Stegostoma tigrinum: one gene and its partner. The protein of the gene in region 2 binds, or shares a complex with, the protein of the main gene of each other region. Links are inferred from orthologs where the notes say so. Each region holds a gene or a part of one and is shown on either strand. Other genes may lie near its edges. The genes, in order: BTB/POZ domain-containing protein KCTD16-like and gabbr2.

What was found.
Region 1: the proteins of gabbr2 (region 2) and BTB/POZ domain-containing protein KCTD16-like are in contact, whole or in part, in a crystal structure (PDB 6M8R), measured with the Homo sapiens proteins. The link is inferred for Stegostoma tigrinum from reciprocal best matches to the Homo sapiens genes GABBR2 and KCTD16. Residues at the interface, in NP_005449.5 of Homo sapiens: Ile882, Asn883, Ile888, Gln889, Arg891, Leu892, Ser893, Leu894, Gln895, Leu896, Pro897, Ile898, Leu899; in NP_001357415.1 of Homo sapiens: Asn30, Gly32, Gly33, Gln34, Val35, Tyr36, Asp64, Leu65, Ala66, Lys67, Asp68, Ser69, Arg72, Phe74, Gly79, Phe80, Arg83.

Annotation. Positions count from the first base shown.
Region 1 is NC_081366.1:33,641,787-33,653,812, forward strand, and holds the start of BTB/POZ domain-containing protein KCTD16-like, read right to left. Parts: upstream 4,834-12,026; 5' UTR 3,577-4,833; coding exon 2,742-3,576; intron 1-2,741. UniProt on the Homo sapiens protein: Auxiliary subunit of GABA-B receptors that determine the pharmacology and kinetics of the receptor response. Increases agonist potency and markedly alter the G-protein signaling of the receptors by accelerating onset and promoting desensitization.
Region 2 is NC_081355.1:87,511,903-87,524,539, forward strand, and holds the start of gabbr2 (gamma-aminobutyric acid type B receptor subunit 2), read right to left. Parts: upstream 6,443-12,637; 5' UTR 5,479-6,442; coding exon 5,182-5,478; intron 1-5,181. UniProt on the Homo sapiens protein: Component of a heterodimeric G-protein coupled receptor for GABA, formed by GABBR1 and GABBR2. Within the heterodimeric GABA receptor, only GABBR1 seems to bind agonists, while GABBR2 mediates coupling to G proteins.

The DNA of each region.
Region 1 (12,026 bases), on a different chromosome or scaffold from region 2:
GCAGAATGAGCTCTGTCATTAAACTGAAGATGATTATTTTTATTTCTTGCTGATCACTCAGCATGCCTTCTATTGTTGACTCCTGATGTGCACAGTGGGGTTTTCCGAATGAATTAATTGTCTCTTTACTTAACTGATGACTATATACAACTGTTCAGGATGGAAGGAAGAATATGCAAGGTTGTAACACTTACAATGTTACTGGACCAACTGGCATATCACTGGTGGGAGCTAAGTTGTCAGCAGATCTAATCCTTGCCAAAGTCCAACATAAAAATGTCCCTATATGAACAAAGGGCAATGAAGTCACTGATGGAATGGTTAAAAAGTCCTCAGATTTGACAACCTGGAATTATCATTGTTAGATTGTTTCATGAATAAATTTATTTCTATTAATATTGCATTCTATAATAATTTTATCCTGTATATTAAATCAACAGATTCAAATACTGTTTTGACTAACCATCTTTGAAGAATCTGTACAATCTCTGGTTACCAATCCTACATTCATTCTAAATTGAAAACGATTGAAAAAAAAATTAGAAGTAAACATAATCATCATTGTGTTAAATTGTAGAAACTGTATTATACCCCAACATCCCATTTGACAGCTTCAGTCCTTTCTTTGGCCTGCTCTACTTGAATAACTCATAGTAACTGTGCAGTAGATGAAGAGAACTACTGTCACATCTAGAGGGCAATAAGATTTTAATGCAGAGCATTAAGCAACAAAGAAACTCAAGCCAATCAGCACATTCAATAGGCTTAAAAAGATAGTTTGGGCCTTACCAGAAGAGACAGGGCATGCTGGCATGGACTTTTAAGAGGCCACAGTATTGTCCCAGTTTTCACGTTGAGAGAGCTTCCAAATGGTAATTAACATCAGCTGATATAGCTTACCAGAGGGAAATATGAATATATCTAAGTTTGTAACACAGAGGAAAGAGCTTGCCCTTAGTACAAGCTGCAATAGCCAATCGCAATAAGTAGGTATTTGTTAACCAACGTTTGGCCAGCACTTTAGCCTTGTTCTGCCATTGCTGCACCTAGTTGTCGCTTCTGCGTTACATTCCCGTTGGTAAACTCTCTGCTATGAAAGTAAAGCAACAAAAAATGACGAATACTGTTCTGGTTCATACAACTTATCGCTAGATCATCAGTAATACCTCAAAATTACAGAAATACAGGACCAAAGGTATTTCAATTTAAACACTGACCGTGTGTACTCGGGTTTGAATTGTCAAATAGTGATATTTGTTGTAAAATCAGCTAGAAACTGCTTTTCCATTCCTTCCTTCATTACAGGTTCTTCAGGACCGTTGTACGATTTGTAAATGACGACTGCCTCAGATAAACGTTGCCGTAAAAGAATGCCCCATTTAAAGAGACCTGACTGGCTCTATAACAATGATGAATTAGGAAATGTTAGCCAGCGGCATTGTGCCAGCTAAAGCGCTATCGTCAAGATTGAGCGCGCCGGTGTTTTAAACCTGTAAAAGTGTATCTGTTCGCCGTGACAACACAGCACTTGGGGAGCGCTACTTCTTTTTCTCGCTAAAGTCATGTCCCTCAGAATTGAAGTTGCAATTTTACCGGTAGACTGGGTCCCAATTATTTACGACGAGCCCCCCTGCCAGTGTCCCATACTCGCAAATAATCATACTAATAACATCCAAGTATAGCAAATCACTCCGAAGAAACGGAATCTCATGCTCTCTTTCGCTCTCTGTGGGTCCTCGGCTCGTATCGCACGGACCCTGAACCGCCCTTGCCAGCTCCTGTTAATGGTCTGGGCTACGAATCAAACCCATTCGGGCTTTGAGCTTCATTCCCAGCCCTGGGACAGGGTAGCTCTGGGAGAAGCTGGCTGAAGCTGCTTGTTTTGCAACCCAGTTAGAAACTAGCCGCTCCCGCCGCCAGAAAGTGCAGCGAGCAATCCAGCATCCCAAAGCTACTTGTCACATTCCCCGCTGCTGCTAGCAGTCGCTGTCCAGGTGCTGAACCACGCCTTCTCGGAGCGGGAAAGACTGTTACAACTTCATTCCGGGACTGTATTTCTTTCCCGGCAACACCGCCAGTGGTTCTCCTTCCGGACAGACTCTCCGGCCGGTACGGGGCTCTTTACAGAGAAACGCAATGTTGTATGCGCAACGTGCAGCGTCCCTGTCCAGGTTTTGTTGTTCGATGGTCACTTCAACCCTTACCTCCTATTCACCATCGAATAATATTGTCTGTCATAATATATTTCAATTTCTGTCCAAACAAGGGGCTGCGAACATGATTCGCTGTCTCAGCAAAGGATTCGAGTGTACAGTCGGTGGTGACAGGGCGCTAGTTCTCGGTTAGGGTTCGGAATGCTCGGCGACGCTCAATGTTGCCTGAGACGGAAATGTACTCGATACCAAACTACTGCGTTTCAAATTCACCGCAACATGTTGGACAGTGGGTGCACTCTGTAACTGGGCGCTGGACTAGTGGGTGCACACTGGATAGTGTGTGTTGTCGGAGGTCGGGCGCTGACAGCAGATAGGAGCAGTGTTTGGGCGCTGGATGGTAGGTGTGGGATATAGTTGGGCGCTGGATATTGGCTGTGCACTCGGTAGTGTGTGGGGGAACTGGAGCTGGTGTTGGCTGAGTATGTACCAGGGCATGGGGATTAAAGGGTGTGGACTAAGAGGAGTTGGAGAACGGTGCAGACATCGCGCTGGGTGCAAACAGGAAGACAACCGGAATGTACTCACGGTAGAAGAGGTATTCGGTGTAGCTGCTCCATGCCCTGTCATCAATCGCCTGGCCGCACACTGAGCCGGTCAGAGAGGAGTTGCTCCCCAGTAGAGTGAAGCCTGCTTCCGCCAGGGTGTCGAAGGCTCTCTCCAGTTGGCGGTAGCGGAGGTAGAAGCGGGACGTGTACCTGTCCGGCGTCCGGTCTGGGTCCCTGCTCTCATTCACGTTGTCTCCGAAGACTTCCTTGAGGAGGCCGATCCGCCCGCAGGCGAGGATACGGGGGACCCGGCGGAAGAGGCGAGCATCCCCCTGCAGGCTATCCCGGCCCAGGACACAGGAGCCGCGGTAACCCAGCGTGATGAAGCCGGCCCTGCGCTCCGCTGCCTGGCTGCCGGCCCGGGGGAGGTCGCTGCCCTGGGACAGCTCATCCAGGTCGCTGTGAGAGGGCTCCTCGAGGCCGGGGCTCTGCCCTTCGTCCGGGCTCAGCATGCGGACCAACTCGGGCAGATGGAAGAACTCCGCCTCCCGCCGGAGGCGCATCTTCTCCGGGAAGAGCTCGGGCAGTACCACCGCCCTGTCCCGCAGGTAGTCCAGGATGTAACGGAATAGGAAGCCGTCCCGGTCGATGAAGAAGCGCCCTCGGTTGTCCCGGGCCAGCTCGGGGCCTGCCGAGTTCCTCTTGTGGCCGAACATCCTGCCGAGCACCGAGTTCGGGAGGCTGGTCAGGGTGGACAGGCGGGTGAAGTACACCTGGCCGCCCACATTCAGCTCCACCACATCAGGCAGCGGGGGTCCGCTGCTCTCCCGGGCCGCCAGCGGGGGAGCCGGCCTGCAGTTCGCGTTCAGAGCCATGGCCGGGAGCCCGGAGCCAACTTCTGGCCAGGAGAGAGAGGCCGCCTCCACCCCTCCCGGCGGCGGCGGCGGGGCAGGGCACTTGGTCAGAGAGCAGCCTCCCCTACCCCGGGCAGCCCGGGACACCGGGAGACTCCCAGCTCCGCTTCCCCCCGACTCCAGCGCCTCCACTGTGATGGGGGGGGGGGGGGGGGAGAGAGAGAGAGGGATGGAGTATTGGAGCAGAGTCCTGCCCCCTGGGGGCAGGGGGGGAGGAGGGAGGGGCTCGCTGCCTGTGCCCTGGCGGCCGATCGGAGTGACCCTATTTGTTTAGCTCCCTCCCTCCCACCCTCCGCTCTGGGGCCGCTCCTGATCCCCAGCGCTCCGGATAGACTGCTGTGAGCTCCTGGTTTGTCACATCTCCCAGTGAGAGAGAGAGAGAGAAAGCAGCTGGCAAAGCGCCTCTTACATCATCTTCCCCCAAAGAGCTCTCACACACCGCCTCCTGCCGAGCTCCACTTCTCCAACTTGGAGAGTCGGGGCGGTATGATTCAGGGCTGAACGTGAAAAGCCAGCTCCCGCTTCCCTGGGTGCCTCGCACGCTTCTGCAGCTCGCCAAGAATCAGCGGCGCTCTCGGCTACTTTCAGACTCCACCACTCCCAGGCTCCGCCTGTCTAGTTTTCGGGAAATTTTTTTTCTCTCTATCCCCCTCTCTCTCTCTCACTCCCTCGGTTTCGCGGAAACCTACGAGACGGAAAATGATTGTCTCCTGAGGGTCAATCATAGACACAAAGTTGTCATTGGCCATTAGTCACCAGGAAACCGGCTCCCTCGAGGTGAAACGCCGAAAGCTCCAGCAGTCTCTTCCTCATTTGTCATTTCGTCGTGTTCTAGGGTGGCTAGGGCTCAAATCCGTCGAGAGGCGATGGAGTATTTTAGGATTGTGGAATAAATAATTAAGTGGAAGTGTGCGGCTAAAATGACCTAGTAATCCACAAAGTCTCGCAGCCAGATCTGAAGCAGTGTTTGCCAGCGTTTCAGAGAAAATAGCAGCGTTACAGGAGAGAGCGAGTGCTGTTTTTTTTTGGAGACACCGTATGTCATGCGTGAGCTAAAAGTTGGGGCCATTGGTAACATATACGGTCACCGTAACTAGAATTAGCGTCAATAAACACTGCTGTAATTCATAGTGAGGACAAATAAACCGGCAGCGAATTGTTACCACATATCACTGGTATGTAAAGGGATCCGAAAATTCTTCAAACAACGCCTAACACATACGCCTACCAGTAATCCCACATGGCCGTCACTAAAAATAACATCATAAAATATGTGATTAAAACAACATTTTCTTCTCACAGAATCAAACTATGTCATAAACAAAATAGGCTACTCATAAGTGATGATTTTTGAGGTTAACTTCATTGTGTAAAAGGTCAGGATTCATATTCGTTTTATTCAAAACCAGTAAGTATTCTTCATTGGTGCCATTTCTTGTATTATTGCGAAACAGCTTTGTGGGAGGGGACACCATATGAGGCTCTTTACGATATTGGAACAGAACTATTTCAGGGTAAAGCTATTTATACTGCGACAGGTGACATTACGGAAGAGACCAAAAACACATTCTGAAAATTGGAATAGGATCAGAAAATGTTGAAAGTCATTTGTACGTGATTATATTGCGTTTAGCACTTGCCAGTGGTCGTTTTAAACGTTAACCTACTTCTCCCTCCCTATAGTCTATGAGCTGCTATCTCGATCCAGTATTTTGTATTTACTGTTATGAAAAGCAAATATAGTCTTATGGTATGTATTTAAATAGCAGCTCTAACACAATACAAAAGCGATGATTATATTCCGAATGCCCGAAGCTTGGCAAATTACGGTAGTACAGTCACAATCTAGGAGTAAAGGCCCTTTCGACTCCAATACGCTGTGGTATAGACTCACAAACGTTTTGGATTTACAGGACTACATGTTTTTATCAACATGTCACAAGGAATAGGGATTTAAGATATCAACAGGTTGGTGTATGTTTTATACCGTTATACTTGCTCACCCATTATCTTGCGCTTTTGTTATCAAAACTCATTTTTCAGCTCAGAATGTATGAGTGATAGAAGACCAACAGAACATACTTTTAATCCCTAGGTCAATTTCTATATACACTAAATCAAAGGTTTTATTTGCCCATTTCATAACCTTGTCGACTTAAGATGCAATTTGATTTGTACATTTGAAAGTCAAGATATTTTGTTCCTTTATACCACGTAAAATCGTTTCATATAGTTATTTAAAGCTATATAAATAATATAGCTGTTTTATTTCTCAAATAGAGAGTGAACATAAAGAACAGTCATGATTGAACACAATGCAATCAGCACAAAATGCAATTTGATTTTTACATTTGAAAGTCAAGATATTCTGCTCCTTTATACCACTTAAAATCGTATCATATAGATTGTATTTCCCTTTCACTGATCTTACTTCCAAACATATTAATTATAATTTTGTACTTTAAACAGCACCTGTCTCTTATTTGTCCATTCAGCCAGTTATCCATGTCCCTTGAGTAATTTCATCACAATTTTGATCTTCTATGGATGTCTTATTAGGTTTAATGGAAGCATTAGCAGATTCTAAATCCTTACGTCCAAGTAAACTCACACAGTTCAATATTTGTAGGACGACTTGACTCTGGGAGTGAAAAAATGTGACCCTCCTTGATGTATGAAGTGGATACAATATTTTTGCACATGCTTTCATATGTGTTTTTCCAGCAAATGGGGGGGGGTGTCATTTATACTGTGATAACACAAGGCTGCAATAAATAATATAACTGTTTTATTTCACAAATAGAGAGTGAACGTAAAGAACAACAGTCATGATTGAACACAATGAAATCAGCACAAAACGACAATTCTATTCATCAATAAGTCAGTTTACTTATACAAGACAACTTATAACTTCACAGTCTGAGCGATAACCTGCCTGTTGGCTTTCTATGAACATGCCAAAGAGTTAATATATGTTTCTGTCCCTACCTTATTAGTTATGTTCACTACTGGAGGGAAGATCTGTGCCAGAGACACCTGTTGAGTACTTAGAACCAGGAGCTTTCCAAATCAATGCGGCTGTAGTATTTACTGATTACAAAGCTGCACAATAACATTTTCAATTTTTAGAAAGTCAAATAATTACCTAATACATTATCTTTGACAATCCTTTATCTTGTTTTTTAAACCAATTTATATGAATATATATTTTAAAACTCCCAATTTGTTAAGTTTAGAAAAAATCAGTGTGTTGCTCAGAAATGTAATTCTAGAATCAGAAAGGAAAATGATATATAACAAGCTACAACATAAACTATACTGTGATGATCAGAATAAGTTTTACATTACTTAAGAACATGGTTTTTGCATGTTTGTTTTTATGCCATGATAAAGGACAAAAAGTTAATTAAAGCCAGTATTTCTCTCTGTGATTGGTGAGGAACTGTGAGAAATGTACTTAGTAAATCACAATCAATCCACAAAATAAACTGACAAACATTCTAAAGACAGTATGTGTGACTGCTAAAAATAAACTGACATAATGGAGCTGATGTCCAGAAGCTAGGTTAACTCTAACCCCTTTTAACTTGAAATGATCCAGAACTCTGCTGCCTGTGTCCTAATTCACATCATGTTCTGCCCATCCCCGTGCTCAGTGACCTATTCTGACTCCTACTCATGCAACATCTGGATTTTAAAATTCTTATCTTTGTTTTCAAATGCCCCCTTTGTGAATTGACCATCTCATTTTCTGTGATCACCTGTCCCTCTATCGTCTGATATACACTAATTGCTTCCAGCAACTGGAGCATCCTTAATTTCAATCATTCCAATAGTCGTTGGCCACGACTTGAGGTGGCTAGGCTGCGAGCTCTGGAGTTTCCGTTTGATATCTCTCTACTTCTATGGCTAAATGTTTGGTCATCTGATTTAACATTAAGCATTTATTGCCCATCTTTAATCATGTAGAGAATTAACCACACTTCTGTGGGTCTAGAGTCACATGATTTCCTTCCTTAAAGGACATTAGTGAAAGAGTTGGGTTATTTTTATGGCAATTGACAATGGTTACATGTTGTGATTAGGCCAGTTTCTAATTCCAGATTTTTATTGAATTAAATGTGCTATTGAATTATTATTGGTGTCTTTACCACTACATTCCTGCCTCCCCTAGGATGACAGGGACTAGGTTCTGAATATTGAGAGGTATACGACTTTCAAGAAGAATAGGAATCTAGATGAAGATAGATGGAAAGTTCTGCTAATCAAAGGTGGAATTAGTACAATAGTTTAAGCTAATCTTGGTTAAGGAGATTAGGATATAGAATCAGTTGTGGTGTAGATGAGGAATAGTAGGAAAAAGAAGTCTCTGGGGGAAATGATCTACAAGCTCCCAAACAGTAGCTATAATGTGAGATGAATCATACAAGAATAAATATTGGACATTTGTGGTAATGGGATGGCAAGAATTATGAGTGATTTTAATCAACAAAATAAATTGGAAAAATCAGATTTATATTGGTAGCTTCAATAGGGAGAACATAGAATGGTTTCAGCACAGTTTCTTAGAGCAGCACATTGTGGATTGACTAGAGAGCAAGCTGTACTAGACAGGACAGCTTAATGATGTCAGAGTAAAGGTATCTTTAGGTAGCAGCAATCATAAGTGATTGAATTTTTCATCTAGTTGAGGGAGAGAACGATGATTTTAAGATAATGTTTCAAACTTAGAAAGGGTGGCCATATAAGCATGAAAGCCATGCTAGCTGAAATGCACTGAGATTTTAGGCTAACAGATAAATCAATCAAGAAGGAGGAGGTGATGTTTAAAGGGATATTTCACATTTCTCAGAATTAGTACATTTATACAATAAAGAAAAAGTATCCAAGGGGAAGACCCACCATCTGTAGTTAATCAAGGAATTAAACAGAACTTCAAATTTAAGGAGAAAGTATATAGTTTTACATATATTAATTGCGGGTCAGATAACTGGTCAGAATACAAAAAATGGCAGAGAATGATTCAAGATAATAAAATGTGAGGCTGGATGAACACAGCAGGCCCAGCAGCATCTCAAGAGCATGAAAGCTGACGTTTCGGGCCTGGACCCTTCATCAGAGAGCAATGATTCAGTTGATCAGGACAAAAAATAAGAGTATGAAAGGAAGCTAGCGAGAAATGTAAAAAATCATAGCAAGAGTTTCAATATAACAAAGAAATTATTGCACAAAGTAGAAGCTAATGGTGAAGGGGCAACATACTAGAAGATTGACGAGCTGGCAGAAAATATGAATAAATGGGTCTGTTTCAGGTTGTCAACATGTGACATCTGGGATCCTCCAAGGGTCTATGTTGAGCCTTTGAATGTTTAGAATTTATAACAATGACTTTGATGAAGAAATTGAAGATGTAGTGGTTAATTTAGCAGATGACACAATGACAGGTAGGAAAGAATGACTTCAGAATTCTGAGTTTCAGAGGTGTTTTGGTGTTCTTGTTCATAAGTCACAAAATGTTAGCATGCACATACAGCACGTAATTGGCCGGGGTCGTGGGGGCGATAACAGAATTTACTATTCAGAGAAAAATTGAACGTAAAAGTAAGAGTGTTCTGCTTCTATGATATAGGCATTGATGAGACCCCATTTTTTAAATTCATTCATGGGATGAGGGCATTGCTAGCTAGGCAGCATTTATGGCCCATCCTTAATTGCCCAGAGGGCAGTTAAGAGTCAATCACATTCCTGTGGCTCTGGAATAACATATAGGCCAGACCAAATAAGGATGGCAGTTTCCTTCCCTAAAGGATATTGGTAAACCAGATGCAATTTCTTGGCAATCAATTCATGGTCATCATTGGACTCTTAATTCCAATTTTTTTTTAATTAAATTCAAATTCCACCGTATACTGTGACAGGATTCAAACCCAAGTTCCCAGAACGTTATCTGGATCAACAGTCCAGCAACAATACCATGAGGTCATTAACACCATTATTCCCCACCCCCCCAACAACTGGTATACTATGAATAGTTTTGGCCTTCTTATTGAAGGTATTTCAGAGGACATTTACTGGATTGATATCTAGCATGAGTGAGTTATCTCAAAAGAGTTCAGAGGAATATAAAGTGATATAACTGAATTTTATAAGATGCTGAATACTGTTGATAATGTGGATATGGACAGGATGTTCACCCTTGTTGCTGAGGCTTAGAACTAGGGACACTTTTAAAACATTGTAGGGCAGGAATGAAATGAATTTTCTTTTCTCTCAGAGATTTCTAAATCTATAGAGCTCTCAAACTCAGAAAGCAAGGAAGCAGAGTCATTCAATATTTTCAAGGTGGAACTAAATTGATTACTTTGCCTAATCAGGATCTAAGGTTATCAGAGATAGATTGGAATGTGGAATTTGTAATACAATTAGATCAGGCATGATCTTATTGAATGGCAATGCAGGATCGAAGGACTGAAAGACTTCATTCTATTCTTAAATCATACGTATCCACAAATGAAATTTATAACAGCATGATAATAGATTATTACAACATTATAAACCCCTGATACATGCACTAAACAGTTGAACTTAGACAATAAAATCATAAGAAGGAACATGACAAGCAGTCATCACAGAGTTAAATGCAAGTAACACTTTCCAAAGTCCTTTGACACAAGAGTCCTTCAGCTGCAACACACTTCTTATTTTAAAATTGTAGGTACATTATCTATAACCTCAAATTACAGTTAGTACAAGAAACTCATCTGAAGAAACATTCAATGAAACTCCAATCAGCAGCAATTGGTTTGCACCTTGCAACATTTTACCATTTCATTAAATGATATGTTAGTTTGTTGTTGTGAAATCTTTTAAGCCTAAGAACTGAATCATACCCAAAAGTCAGTATGTACAGGATCCTTTAGGAAGTGTGCATGACTACCAATATATCATAGAGCTGTGTGAAATTGATGCTGGCTGCTCCTTGCATTCAGAGAAGCTTACAGACAGGGATCTATTCAATTAGAAGAATGGGGAAATTCCTAACGCCACCTAAAAGAAACTGTAATCATAAACAGAAGGTTAACCAAGGTCCCAGGCAGCAGGATGTACAAGTAACTAACAGAGGTAGTTACAGAAACTGCAACAAATCTGAAAGACTCTCTACATCAGAAGGCAGGGAACCAGGGTCGTTGATTATGTTTTAGGTAGAGGTAGCTTGACTCCCTTGCTTAACAGGAATCTAAGGTTATTAGTGACAGCCAGGAATGTGAAATTTGGAACGCATCAGAACAGCAATGAACTTGTTGAATAGCAAAGCATCTGATGCAGCTTTTCAGGCGCAGGTCTGCACTGCTCCGAAGGTTCGTCATAATGTGTCTGAATGGGTCAATTAGCCAAATAGCTTGGAAGCCCTTATACTGAGGCCAGCAAGTGGAGTTGGAGGAGAATTATCTTGTTTTCAAAACAGCAGGAAGAGATGGCACAATGCCAGATGTTGGTTAATTACCAGACTAGGGTCTTCAAGTTAAGAATCTGTGCTTCTAGTTTATTTTTGACTATCCGCTGCAGCCCCATTACTTACACCGCTCTCCACTCACCTAAAGTAATTCACAATTTTACAATTTTCTCCTGCTTATCACATAGCATTCCATGTTTCCAGCACTACCGGAACCCCCACTTCTGCACATCTAATATCTTGCACATAATGTCCACTTTATTCAAGATTGTTGGGCACAATCTAAAATAGTTTGGAAGTCTGACACAAATGAGAAGTCAGGCAGAAATAAAGCACCCAACTGGAAGATCAGATCCTCTTCCTAATTGCTAGTGAGTGTAAGATGGCAACATTGAGTGAAAATGGTGCAGGGAGAAGCTGAAAGTTCTTCACACTTTATCCAATTTTTCCAATCAACCCAAACATTCCACATGATGAGTTGCAACCAATCATCTCTCCCTGCTTTATATTAAAAGTAATCTCCCTCCTTCTCTTTTACTTAAAGACCAGAAAATAAGGCTTTCAATGAAGTTCATGGTTGAAGGTTTTCATTCCTATTTGCTTTTCGATGATTGTACATTCCCTGCCTGCTGCACTGCACTTTGTTCAATATATATGGAGGCTCACATGGCCAAGTACAGAAATATTGAGTGTGAATGCGTGTAATATCCCAAGGCATTTATTTTCTTCTATTTATTCATTGAATGTGAGCATCATTTGCAAGGCCAGTATTTACTGCCATTCCTGACTTGAGAACAGCTTGTAGGACAAAGTCATGCAGATTAGATTTGTGTTATGGATAAATCTGATCTTTCTGATACCAATTCAACACATGGGCAATTTTCTCAACTGTGACTCAGTCCAATTTACATTGGATCCAGGCAGAAATAAACTCTTTCATCTTTCCCTTTACTATTGG
Region 2 (12,637 bases):
CTTTAAGTATCTTCTCCAAAACCTTTATGCTACCTTCCCAATGTTGAGACTTGTTACCTTGCTGTATGAACTATTGTTATACTTTGTCAATTCTTTGCATGTTAAGTCCACTGTCATTCCTCAATTAAATTGTGTTTACATCACATTGCTAGTCTTACTAGTACTGACAGGATCATATTATTAAATTACCTTCATGTATTCATGTGTTTTCTCAAGCAACTGTACACACCACAGGTGAATGATCAAAACTTAACATTTCTACTAATGAAGTGATTCCTTAACGTTTTTAAAAAGCTTCAAAAGATTGTTGTTGTTGACACACCATGTTTAGTTTTCTCTTTGCCACTGAATAAAATGATAAATTGCATGATTTTCTTAGTGATCCACTAATTTTTGGAAATTACATTATATTTGCTGGCACAGAGGACTGTCAGGCCTCAGTCTTTGAACCTTGATTTCTTTGGCAGTATCACATCGTGGTGAACCCAAATGAGTAATTCTCGCTAATTACAGATGCAAAGTAGTAAAATTTGGAGCTGATACCACGATAGTGGAATTAAAGAAGGCATTGCATAAATTATTACATCAATTGGGCAATATCTATGTAAGCAGCCAATGACAAATGAATTATATTGCAAAAAAAGTGTGAAATGCCACTCAGGAAAGACAAATAGACATGATGTGTACTTTAAGAACTGTCCTGAAATGACAAAGGATGAAGCTGAAAGAGGATTTACTAAACTATTTGCAAGATATGTTTGATCAATGCAGAACAGCAAACAACAAGTCTAATAAGATATCAACTGCAGAGCCAAGATAACAGAATATCAGTCAGAGTACATAATGATGAATCTTTATTGTACTCTTGTTGAAATGTACTTTGGTACTGCAGTTCTGGTTATCAAGCAATAAGTAAAATATTCAAGCCCTGGGGACATTGTAGTGAAACATATCCCTAGTACAAGTTCAGTTTACAGATAGGTGAGAGAAACATGGCCTACATAACCTCAGAAACAGGCATGTCTGAGGTGATGTTTTTATTAGTTAAAGTAAGATTAAGGAAAATGCAAAGAAATTTGACAAATATGTTTAGGGCAAAAGAGTAACTAGGGAGAGAATAACACCCCTTAAAGATCAATAAGGCTGTCTATGTGTGGAGCCACAGAAATGGACAAGATACAAAACTAGTATTTTCCGTCAGTGATTACTATGGAGAAGAAAACAGAAGCTGCAGAACTTGGAGAAATAAACTGACATCTTTAAGTGTCCATTTAATGAAGGAAGAGGTGCTAGAAATCTTAAAATGCATGAAGGTGGATAAATCCACAGGACCTGATCAGGTGTATCCCACGACTTTGTGGGAAGCAAAGGAACTGATTGCTGGGCACCTTGCTGAGATATTTGTATCATTGATAGCCAAGGATGTGGTGCCAACAGACTGGAGGGTGGTTAATGTGGTGGATTATTTAAGAAACTTGGTAAGGAGAAGCCAGGAAACTACAGACTTGTCAGCCTGATGTCAGTGGTGGGTATGTTGCTGGAGGGGATTCTGAAGGACAGGATCTACATGCATTTGGAAAGGCAAGGGCTGATTGAGGATAGTCAACATGGGTTTGTGCATGGGAAATTGATTCTCAAAAACTTGATTGAGTTTTTTTGAAGAATTGAGAAAGAACATTGATGAAGGCAGAATGGTGGACATTGTCTATATGGGTTTCAGAAAGGCATTTGACAAAGTTCTGCATGATAGAGTCATTAACAGGGTTATATCCTGTGGAATCCAGGGAGAGATAGCTAGTTGAATACAAAATTGCCTGCAAGGTAGGAGACAGAGGATGACGGTGGAGAGTTGCTTTTGGGGCTAGAGGCCTGTGACCATCAGTGTGCCACAAGGTTTGGTGCTGAGTCCACTGTTTTTTGTCACTAATATAATTGATTGAGATGTGAATATAGCAGGAATGATTAGTAAGTTTGCAGATGACACCAAAATTGATAGTGTCACGGAAAATGAAGAAGGTTACCTCGCAGTACAATGGGACCTTGATCAGATGGACCAATGGTCCGAGGAGCCACAGATGGAATTTAATTTAATTTAATGATATGAGATGTTGCATTTTGATAAGGCAAGTCAGGGAAGGACTTATCCACTTAATGGGGACTGTTGCTCAACAAAGAGACCTTGGGGTGCAGGTTCATCGTTCGTTGAAGGTGCAGTCACAGATAGACAGAGTACTGAAGGAGGCATTTGGTATGCTTGCCTTTATTGGTCAGTGCATTGAGTACAGGAGTTATAATGTCATATTGCTGTTGTACTGGACATTGGTTAGGCCATTTTTGGCACTGCGTTCAGTTCTAGTCCCCCTGCTATAGGAAAGATGTTGATGTTAAATTTGAAAGCATGCAGAAAAGATTTACAAGAATTTTAACAGGGTTGGAGGCTTTGAGCTACAGGGAGAGGCTGAATAAGCAGAAGTATTTTTCCTGGAGCGTCAGTGGCTGCAGGGTGACCTTATTGAGGTTTATAAATTCATGAAGGGCATGAATAGTGAGAATAGCCAAGGTCTTTTTCACAGGGTGGGGGAGACCAAAAGGTTTAAGCTGAAAGGGGAAAGATATAAAAAGGAAGTACGCAGCAGCTTTTTCACACAGATGTTGGCACGTTTTTGGAATGAGCTGCCAGAGGATGTGGTGGAGACTGGTACAAATCCAGCATTTAAAAAGTATCTGGACTGGTACATGAATAGGACGGGTTGAGAGTGATATTGGCCAAATGCTGGCAAATGAGACTAGATTAATTTAGGATACTTGGTTCACTTGAACAAATTGGGCCAAAGGGTCAGTTGCTGTTCTATATAACTCTATGACCCTATGAGTATACAAGAGGTTAACTCAGGACATTACATTAAACTTCAAAGCCAGAGGAAGAATTCAAACTATAAAAAAAGTCTTTTTGGAACAGATTTTCAGAAATTATTTTTCAAACTGAAAATAGTCAATAGGTGGAATATGCTTCTATGAAGGTAAAAATTGGAGCAATTGATTTAGGGAGCAATTTAAATGTACAGCTGTATAGTGGTTTTGTAATTTTTTTGTCAAAAAGAAAGAAAATATCATCATGTCCCTGCAATAAAATTCATCTGAAGGACTTGAAACACCTGATCAAGATAAAATATTAAAGGCCTGACTTTGCTTCTGTGGAGTGCACAGTTACTTGAGAAATACGTGAATATTAAGAGAAATAGCAGAGAGATTTAACAAAATGCTCAAAACATTAAGAACTAGCAACCTAGTGATGTGAGTTCAAATCCCGTCACAGCTGATGGCAAATATAAATTTAGTTTATTAATAAAAAGTGGCGCCGGTATTGTTGAGCGTGAAATGACTGAATTGTTGTATAAACATCTCTGGATCACCAATATCTTTTTCGGAATGATATCTGCCTCTTTGCCTCATCATAACCCCGTTTGGGGCCCCGTAACTTAAGCGTTGGCCTGTTGACGGCCATTCGGTTATTAACCGGGCTGAGGCGATGTACAAACCGGCCTCACCGCTGCTGGCCCTAACTCCCATGAATGAAACCAGATGGATACTACACTGGACGGGAGGGGCCATTGAGATTCTTCTGGATTTATGAACTAACATGAGCCTAAAGGCCTTCCTCAGCTGTCACACAAAAGAAAACAGAGAGCTATTGATGCGGGAAATGAGAAACAAAACCAGAAATAACTGGAGAAGCTCAGCATCTGTGGATAAGAGAGCAGAGTTCTAAAGAGCGGTCAGTGGACTGGAAACATCAACTCCGCCTCTCTCCCCACAGAGGCTTCCAGACCTGCTGAGTTTAACCAGCAATTTTTGTTGTTGTTATAGTCTCAGCCCTTGTGAACTGCGGAGATATTCTCTTGGGTCAACCACCTGTCGTTTCGACATTTGAAGGAATTTCCCCTTCTCCAAATGGCTTTCGGTTAGTTTGCGAATTCCTCATCCTGTCCTTTTAAAGGGGCCGATCGGGCCAAACGCTCCTGTGGAATCATTTGTAAATGCCCGCCCCCATGTTTTGCTTTACATCACCTTACAAGATGGAATGAAAATGCAATGGAGAGAGGCAAAGCCTGTTTAGAAACGAAGGCGAGCACACACACACAAACACACGATGCAAAGGAAAGCTGCCTCACAGCATCGCCGAGCGCCTGCCCTCTGTGCCAGTTTCAGAGCCGCAGCACGTACAGCCAGCCTGGTGCTAAGTGTATTTGACTGGGTCACTGACAGTGAAGTGCCCCTGCCCGCTCTCAACGTGGGATGGCGGTTACCTTGGCAATGTGGGCAGCGCTTGGTGTGAAGCTGCTGCCACCTTCAGGTAATGCTCACTCAGTCCTGAGCCTGTCCCCGCCCCTAGCACGTTAATTCCACCGTGACAAACGAATGTGCATCTATGTATGTCATCTGGGGAAGGAAAACACAATACCTGCTGTAGTGGACACCTCCTCCCTTCAACAGCGAGGTCTCAAGGTGATTCGGAGTGTTTTTATTTCGCATGAAGCGCGTTATATTGTCACTAATGCACAGATCTCTTGGCGAAGAGGGGGTGGCCGTGGTCTGCAGTGTTAACTGTTTGCTGCTGGCAAGCAATGAGCAGAGCCTGTGCCTGTTCATTGCTTCCCCAGGCAGTGCACGGGCTGTTCGCCAGATTAATGCAATGACTTCAGGAGCTCATTCATATTCCTCAAAAGGGAAAAAGAAATACACACACACACACACACACACACATAGCGCCCTGTCCCCATTCCTTCTTGCTTCTTGCTTAGCTGCTAACCAATGTTATGTTATCCGCATGTCCACACACGGTGCACAGGCAAAACTGGGTCAAAATCGAAAAGCTAACCGCGCTGTAGCCACAAGACACAAGAAACCGAGCGCTAAACAGGCACGGCAAACCCCCGCTGAACCCTGCGAAGGGTTAACTCATTCATCCACTGCGCATTGTACAAAACAGCACAATTCAAAATTAACACTTCGCACCTCGTAAGTATCACACTGTGGATATATTAAGGAGATATGTACAAGGAGGGGGGGTACAGGCAAAGGGTTTGAACTAATTGGAAATCCTCTACGTGTTCGTTTGTAAACAGACTGGATTAAACACACACACACACACAGATAGCTTCACAAATAAAAGAAACATACCTCGGAGTCGTACCACTTCAGGACCAGTTTGCTGGTGTTGGGTAAGAATTTGTTGTGGACGTGTTCTGTGGCCAGCTCGACGGCTGGTATGATGCCCTCGGAGATGCTCTCTGCCGCCTTGTTGATGGGCATCAGCCCCATGATGGGCAGCTTGGAGTCGGCTTCCAGGCGACTGTTCCTCAGCCCCAGAGCCGAGCTGGAGAGCAAGCCCCAGATCCATAGCACCAAGAGCGTGCCGAGACGGCGCAGGCAGCGCCAGAAGAAGCCAGCTCGGTAGGTCCTGGAGATTGTCTGCATCCTGGAGGAGAAACCGCACGCACACACACACACTCACACTCTCACAAACCAGAGGAGAGCCGCATCAGAAGGTAGGCAGTGGTGCTGGGGCTCGCTGGCTGCCGCGATCTCTCTCTCTCCCTCTCTGTCGCTTCAACCCTTCTAAGGTGTTGCAATCTGGTCCAGCCACTGAGCTGATCCGAGTTCAGTGCATTCCGCTCGCCCCTTCCTGCTCTTGTTGAGGGGTCCCGAATAACGTGTTTTAACGTCGCCTGGCGCCCCCTCTCTTAATACCATTGATTCAAGTTGACAGATATAAAATATCTGGAAACATACATTTGCGTGCGTTGCCTTCTTCACCTCCTTCAGTAGGATTTCAGCAGCAGTTCAAAGGAAAGCAGAACCCGCACGGCTTTGAAAAAAAACACCCTGCAGAGGAAGCAGCGCCGAACATCTACACAGTGTTGGACTGGGTGTTAATGTGCAGCTCAGCATAGAGCTCAGCACTTAACAGGCTCACCTCTCGTCCACAGCTCCCATCACATCCTGTCCAATCCATACAAACGCAAGGATGGGATAACGGGGATATCCCCACCAACACCCTCTCCCCGCCAAACAAAACAAGAGATTACACCGGCACGGACGGAGTTGGAGACTCAGCTCCCTGGGGAAGGCAGCTCGACTGGGGAAGAGATCCTCATGTCCGCAGCGCTGCCTCTGTGAATACTGTCAGTGGGGGCACTGCAGGTGACCCAACTCCGGGCTCCATCCTGGGCGGTGGAGCAGTGAGCCCGCTCGGACACCCGCCGCTCTGGGATTCCGCTGGTAATGTTCACACTCCGAACATGTTGGCGGTGCCTGTGAGCACACAGGGTTACACACAGGCGCACAGCAACGCAGCTCCAGCCGCATTGGACTCAACCTCTGGCGGATTCGAAGGAGTCAAAACACAGCAGACCTCAGCTACTGGTTGAAATTGCCAACAACACAATCACCAGAAACGAAATGACCACGATGTGTATATGTATTAATAATAAAACAAACACATGCCAATATGAAACAGGGACGAGTTTTGTGTTTTATGGCGAGGGGGAAGGCCATAAATCGAACCGGATCATTATCAGGGCTTCGACTGTCAATCACTGAATTTATTTGCACTTCTTCCCATTACAGTAGCGAAAACATCTGTTCCCGCACCTCACAGGCAAACAGGGAACAGCGACCAATTCAGGCACCGAATCAGATCCCGAAAATTGCAAAACAGCAGTAACCTATTAATTATTCCCTAGTGTCGAGATCCGCATCGCAACCGGCACCTTCCCGTTGTTTCATTTTGAATTGTAGCTTCAGATCCATTTTCAGCTTTGACTCTCACTTTCACTGTGTGCAGGAATCTCCAGGAATGTTACGTTTTTTTTTAATTAACTGGAACTTGATTTGGAAGGAGAGATTGACCGTTTGGAAATCAATTTGTTGTTCTAGTTGTAAACATCCTCAAGAATGTTTTTAATTATTGGAATGGAAATGAAGTTCTGGGGAAAGAATCGCACGTTAAAAAGCGTATTGAAATTCACCAAACCCAAGTCGTTGAAAGTTTGTAAGCGTTTGATACCTTGGTGGTTTAAAGCCTCACTCGGTGTACTCTTTATGTTTCCGCCACTATCTTTTGTGGCATTTTAAAAGAGGTTTGCCCATATCGTTCATTCCAGTCTTCACTGTTGTTTAGTGTGGAGAATAACTTCACTTTGGAATGATTAACAAAAACAATTGTAAATGGCAAGTGAAAACAAAGTTGCCCTCGACAGCAGTGATTTGTCACTGTTACCCTGTGAAGTCCCACCATCGATACCAGCTAAACATGAGTGCTACCAATTTTCAGCCACTAGGCTCCTTGAGAACGCTTGGTTTCTATTACGTGGAGACTCTGAATCAAGCAAATACATTGTTCAATCCTCTGGCAGCAAACAAATCTATCCTGTTGATCTATGATAGTATCAGAGATAATGGGAACTGCAGATGCTGGAGAATTCCAAGATAAAATGTGAGGCTGGATGAACACAGCAGGCCAAGCAGCATCTCAGGAGCACAAAAGCTGACGTTTCGGGCCTAGACCCTTCATCAGAGAGGGGGATGGGGAGAGGGAACTGGAATAAATAGGGAGAGAGGGGGAGGCAGACCGAAGATGGAGAGTAAAGAAGATAGGTGGAGAGAGTGTAGGTGGGGAGGTAGGGAGGGGATAGGTCAGTCCAGGGAAGACACAACCAGCCCAGCTCTTCCCCCCCACCCACTGCATCCCAAAACCAGTCCAACCTGTCTCTGCCTCCCTAACCGGTTCTTCCTCTCACCCATCCCTTCCTCCCACCCCAAGCCGCACCCCCAGCCACCTACTAACCTCATCCCACCTCCTTGACCTGTCCGTCTTCCCTGGACTGACCTATCCCCTCCCTACCTCCCCACCTACACTCTCTCCACCTATCTTCTTTACTCTCCATCTTCGGTCCGCCTCCCCCTCTCTCCCTATTTATTCCAGTTCCCTCTCCCCACCCCCCTCTCTGATGAAGGGTCTAGGCCCGAAACATCAGCTTTTGTGCTCCTGAGATGCTGCTTGGCCTGCTGTGTTCATCCAGCCTCACATTTTATTATTCTGTTGATCTATGTCATGTTTAAACCAGGAAATAATTATTAATATCACTGGAAAATATCACAGCCATGAGAATAGAAAGATGGATTTGACTCCTGGGACAGAAGTTACATGATTTCCTGATAGCTTATCTAGTTTGGACTCTAACAAGTAACCAACACATAGATGGCATTATGTCACCGATTCCTGTTTTATGGAAAATATTCTAGTGCAAAGACACATTCAAAATGCGTCTCATTTCCCCAAATGCAAGTGATTTATCTTCCATACTAGCTGAGGGCCAAGCTGATATTCTCCAAGCACAGTAATACACAGTAGTCAGACCAAGTTAGTAACATGCATCCAGCAATAAACCATCCCTAACTTAATATATAATTAGCCCCAGGTCAATATTAATGACACAGCTCTAAATCTTAAAAACTGCAATGAAGAGTTTGAGGAGGTCTAGGTGGAAGCAGAACCTAAAACTTCATTTAACTATAACAGTGTAGATACAGTACATGTTTCTTTGTGTGTGTGCTCTCTGAAGTCAACAGATATGGCTCACCTGGAGCTCATTGGAGACATGTAGACAGACTAATAATGTGCCTGATTATTATTCCCAGGTTGGTAAGGTTATGGAAGGGCATAGTGATATTCAAGGGCATGTGTACATTAAGAAGCAGCTGTTGGGCAACTTAATAATCAATATGGTCCATAAGTCCTCAGGGCCTGATGGGATCTATCCCAGGATACTAGGGGAGGCAAAGGAGGAGATTGCTGGGGCCTTGGCAAAGATCTTTGTGTCCTCTTTAGCCACAGGCGAGGTTACAGAAGACTGAAGAATAGCCAAAGATGTTCCTTTGTTTAAAAAAAGCAACAGCGATAATTCAAGAGATTTTAGGCCGTACATTAAAGTGGTAGGAAAATTATTGGAGAAGATTCTTAGGGACAAGATCAACTTGCAATCGGAAAAGAACGGACTTATTAAGGATAGTCAACATGGCTTTGAGGCAGGAGGTCTTGTCTCACAAATTTGATTGAGTCTTTCGAGGAATTGATGAAGATGGTTGATGAGAGTAGGGCAGCAGATGTTGCTACATGGACTTTACTAAAGCATTTGATGAAGTCCCTCATGGTTGGCTGGTCCAGAAGATTAAGTCGCATAGGATTCGCAGTGATTTGTGTAAGTTGAATACAAAACAGGTTTACTCATAGAAGACAAAGGGTAGTTTTGGAAAAGTGTTTTTCTTTCTGACTGGAGGTCTGTGACCAGTAGTGTTCTGCAAGGATCAGCACTGGGACCCTGTTGTTTGTAATTTATTTAAATGATTTGGATGAATCAGTAAATGGTCTGATTAGTAAGTTTGCAGATGACACAAAAATTGGTGGAGTTGTGCATAGTGAGGAAGATTTTCAAAGTATACAGCAGGAAGGTGACCAGTTGGAAAGTTGGGCAGAGAAATGGCAGATGGAGATTAATCCAGCAAATGTGAAGTGTTGCATTTTGGAAGGTCATGGGCTAGAGGAAAGTATACGGTAATGGCCAGACCCTGAGGAGCAAATCCATCACTCCCTGAAAGTGGCAACACAAGTAGATGAGGTGATGAAGAAAGTATGCATCATGTTTGCCTTCATCAGTTGGGATATTGAGTATAAAAGTTGGCGAGCCATGTTGCAGCTGTATAAAACATTAGAGAGATCACATTAAGAGTATTGTAATCAGTTCTGGCCCACACACTCTAGGAAGGATGTGGAGGCTTTTAAGAGAATGCAAAAGAAGTTTACTAGGATATTGGTTGCAGGAACAGCAACTCATATTCCGCTTGGGAACCCTGCAGCCCAATGGTATCAATGTGGACTCCACCAGCTTCAAAATCTCCCCTTCCCCCACCGCATCCCAAACCAGCCCAGTTCGTCCCCTCCCCCCACTGCACCACACAACCAGCCCAGCTCTTCCCCTCCATCCACTGCATCCCAAAACCAGTCCAGCCTGTCTCTGCCTCCCTAACCTGTTCTTCCTCTCAAACATCCCTCCCTCCCACCCCAAGCCGCACCTCCATTTCCTACCTACTTACCTCATCCTACCTCCTTGATCTGTCCGTCTTCCCTGGACTGACCTATCCCCCCCCCACCTCCCCACCTATACTCTTCTCGCCACCTATCTTCTTTTCTCTCCATCTTCGGTCCGCCTCCTCCTCTCTCCCTATTTATTCCAGAACCCTCACCCCATCCCCCTCTCTGATGAAGGGTATAGGCCTGAAACGTCAGCTTTTGTGCTCCTGAGATGCTGCTGGGCCTGCTGTGTTCATCCAGTCTCACATTTTATTATCTTGGATTTTCCAGCACCTGCAGTTCCCATTATCACGTTACTAGGATATTGGCCAGATTGGAGTTCATTAGCTATAAGGAGATGTTTGACAAACTTGGATTGCTTTCACGAGAGCATTAGAGGCTGAGGGGCGACCCGATAGAGTATATAAAATTATGAGAGACCTGGATAGCATGGTTGTCACAGTCTTTTTCCCAGGTTGGAAATGATAAAATCTAGGGACATAGGATTAAGGTGATAGGGGAAATGTGCAAGAAAAGTTTTTTGTTTTAACAGAGGATGGTAAGTGCCTGGAATATCAATGTTTAAGAGGCACTTAGACAGACCATAAACAGGCAGATGGGGTTGGTTTAGAATGCCATCTTGGTCAGCACAGATATGACAGGCCAAAGGGTCTGCTTCTGTGCTGTACCATTTTCTGCTCCAATAGAACAGAATTGATCCCCAATAACTGAGGAATAATACTTATCGCTCCACTATTTCAAAAGTACTGTAGTATCAATTTGAGATACATTTGGTAGTTGAGCTACTACCATTTGTGTGGATAGGACTTAAAAGAACTTCACAAGATGCTATCAATATTCATCAAAAGAGCATAACAGACTATAAGGGTGCGTAAGTATTTTGTGAAGAGTTCTTATGGTTTTTGAAGTGTATTATCCAGTGAATATAATCTGTTTACATTTCCTGAAGCTATTTGATAAGATATTTATGAACGTTGCGATTTGCAGAATTGCTGTCTGTTTCACCATACATAAGCAAAATAAATACCTGACAATATGGGAAGTACATCTGGGTGGGGAGAGTGGCGAGAGGAGTTGTGAAGGGTTCTTCTGCGGGTTACAGGCTGTTCACTCTTTACAGGCCTATAGAGGGAGCTTTGTAATTTATAACATAATGTTGCCTGTAACATCAATAGCATCTTCATTTTCCATTGGATAGTTCACATACAGAAACTTACACAGCAGTGGAAATTTGGACACTGAGCGATAATGAGAAAGAGAAAGAATTAAAGCAAAGGAAATTTGGAATACTTACAAAATCAGAGAGAGAAGTAACGGGGTGGAGTTGTCAAAGGGGAAAGATGCAGCGATTAGGACCAGAATCGGAAACGAAATTAAAAAGCAGAACCTAAGAAGATATAATCTGTGGATTAGTACCTGAGATGTGTGCACATTGGCATAGTGTACATAAAATTAGAGAAATGACTCTGTTGCCAAAGACTGATGTGGAAACCAAGGGATTGTGGCCAGTGGACTATTGGCACCAGTACTGGGGAACGTGGCGGCTGTACCATTGGGACAGTTTACACCTGATCTATGCAGGGACCAGTGTTTTTTGTGAACTGCATAACCAGGGAGGTGCAAAGAATTTTAAACTAAATAGCAAGGGCAAGGAATCAAACGTGGAAAGCTATAGTATAACAAAGAGTAAAGACAAGGTAGACAAGTAAAGCACTAATCCGGGAATAGAGGGCCAGAGAGTGGCTGAAAGAGACAAAGTCAAGACAAAACCTAGGAATGCACCTAGGAATGTCAAGACTAGATGTTACAAAGATTACAACAAGAGGCAAGTAAAGATTCTGTATCTGAATTAGCATAGCATTATAAACAAAGTAAATAAAGAGATAATACGCATTGAAGTGAGCAAATATGTTAGATAGCCATTATCAAGACATGGCTGCAGAATGAGAAAGGTTGAGTCCTGAATAGTGAAGGTTACATCCAAGAAGAAGAGGACACTGGGTAGAAGATGGAGGGACATCAAGGATGGCATTGGTGCAATAGTTAGAGATTACCTCAATTCCGTTTGATTACATTTGGCACTGTTTTCAACTTCAGTTTCCATACTGCTTACGGACCCTGTGCTGCTGCTGCTCTCTCTCTGTTTTCAGCTCCCATATTGATGTTGGTTGTGAACTGTTTTATACGGTGTATACTATTTTCAGCCTCCCTATTGCCATGTTGGTTGTTAAAACTGCAAAGCTGTAAGCCTACTGGAAGATGAAAGCAACTGTGTCTTGTTTTGTTCTGTGGAGAGTATGGTGTGTGAAAAATTTAAGACATAAAAGCTTACACTCCCCCTAGGCCATATATCTACCTCTGGGCCAAAAGCCGAGGTTCAAGTCCCATCTATTTGACAGATATGCAGTAACACACCTGAATGTGTTGATTTAAAAACATCCAACATAAAAGGTGCTCGAATCTGTGATTTAAAATATAACATCT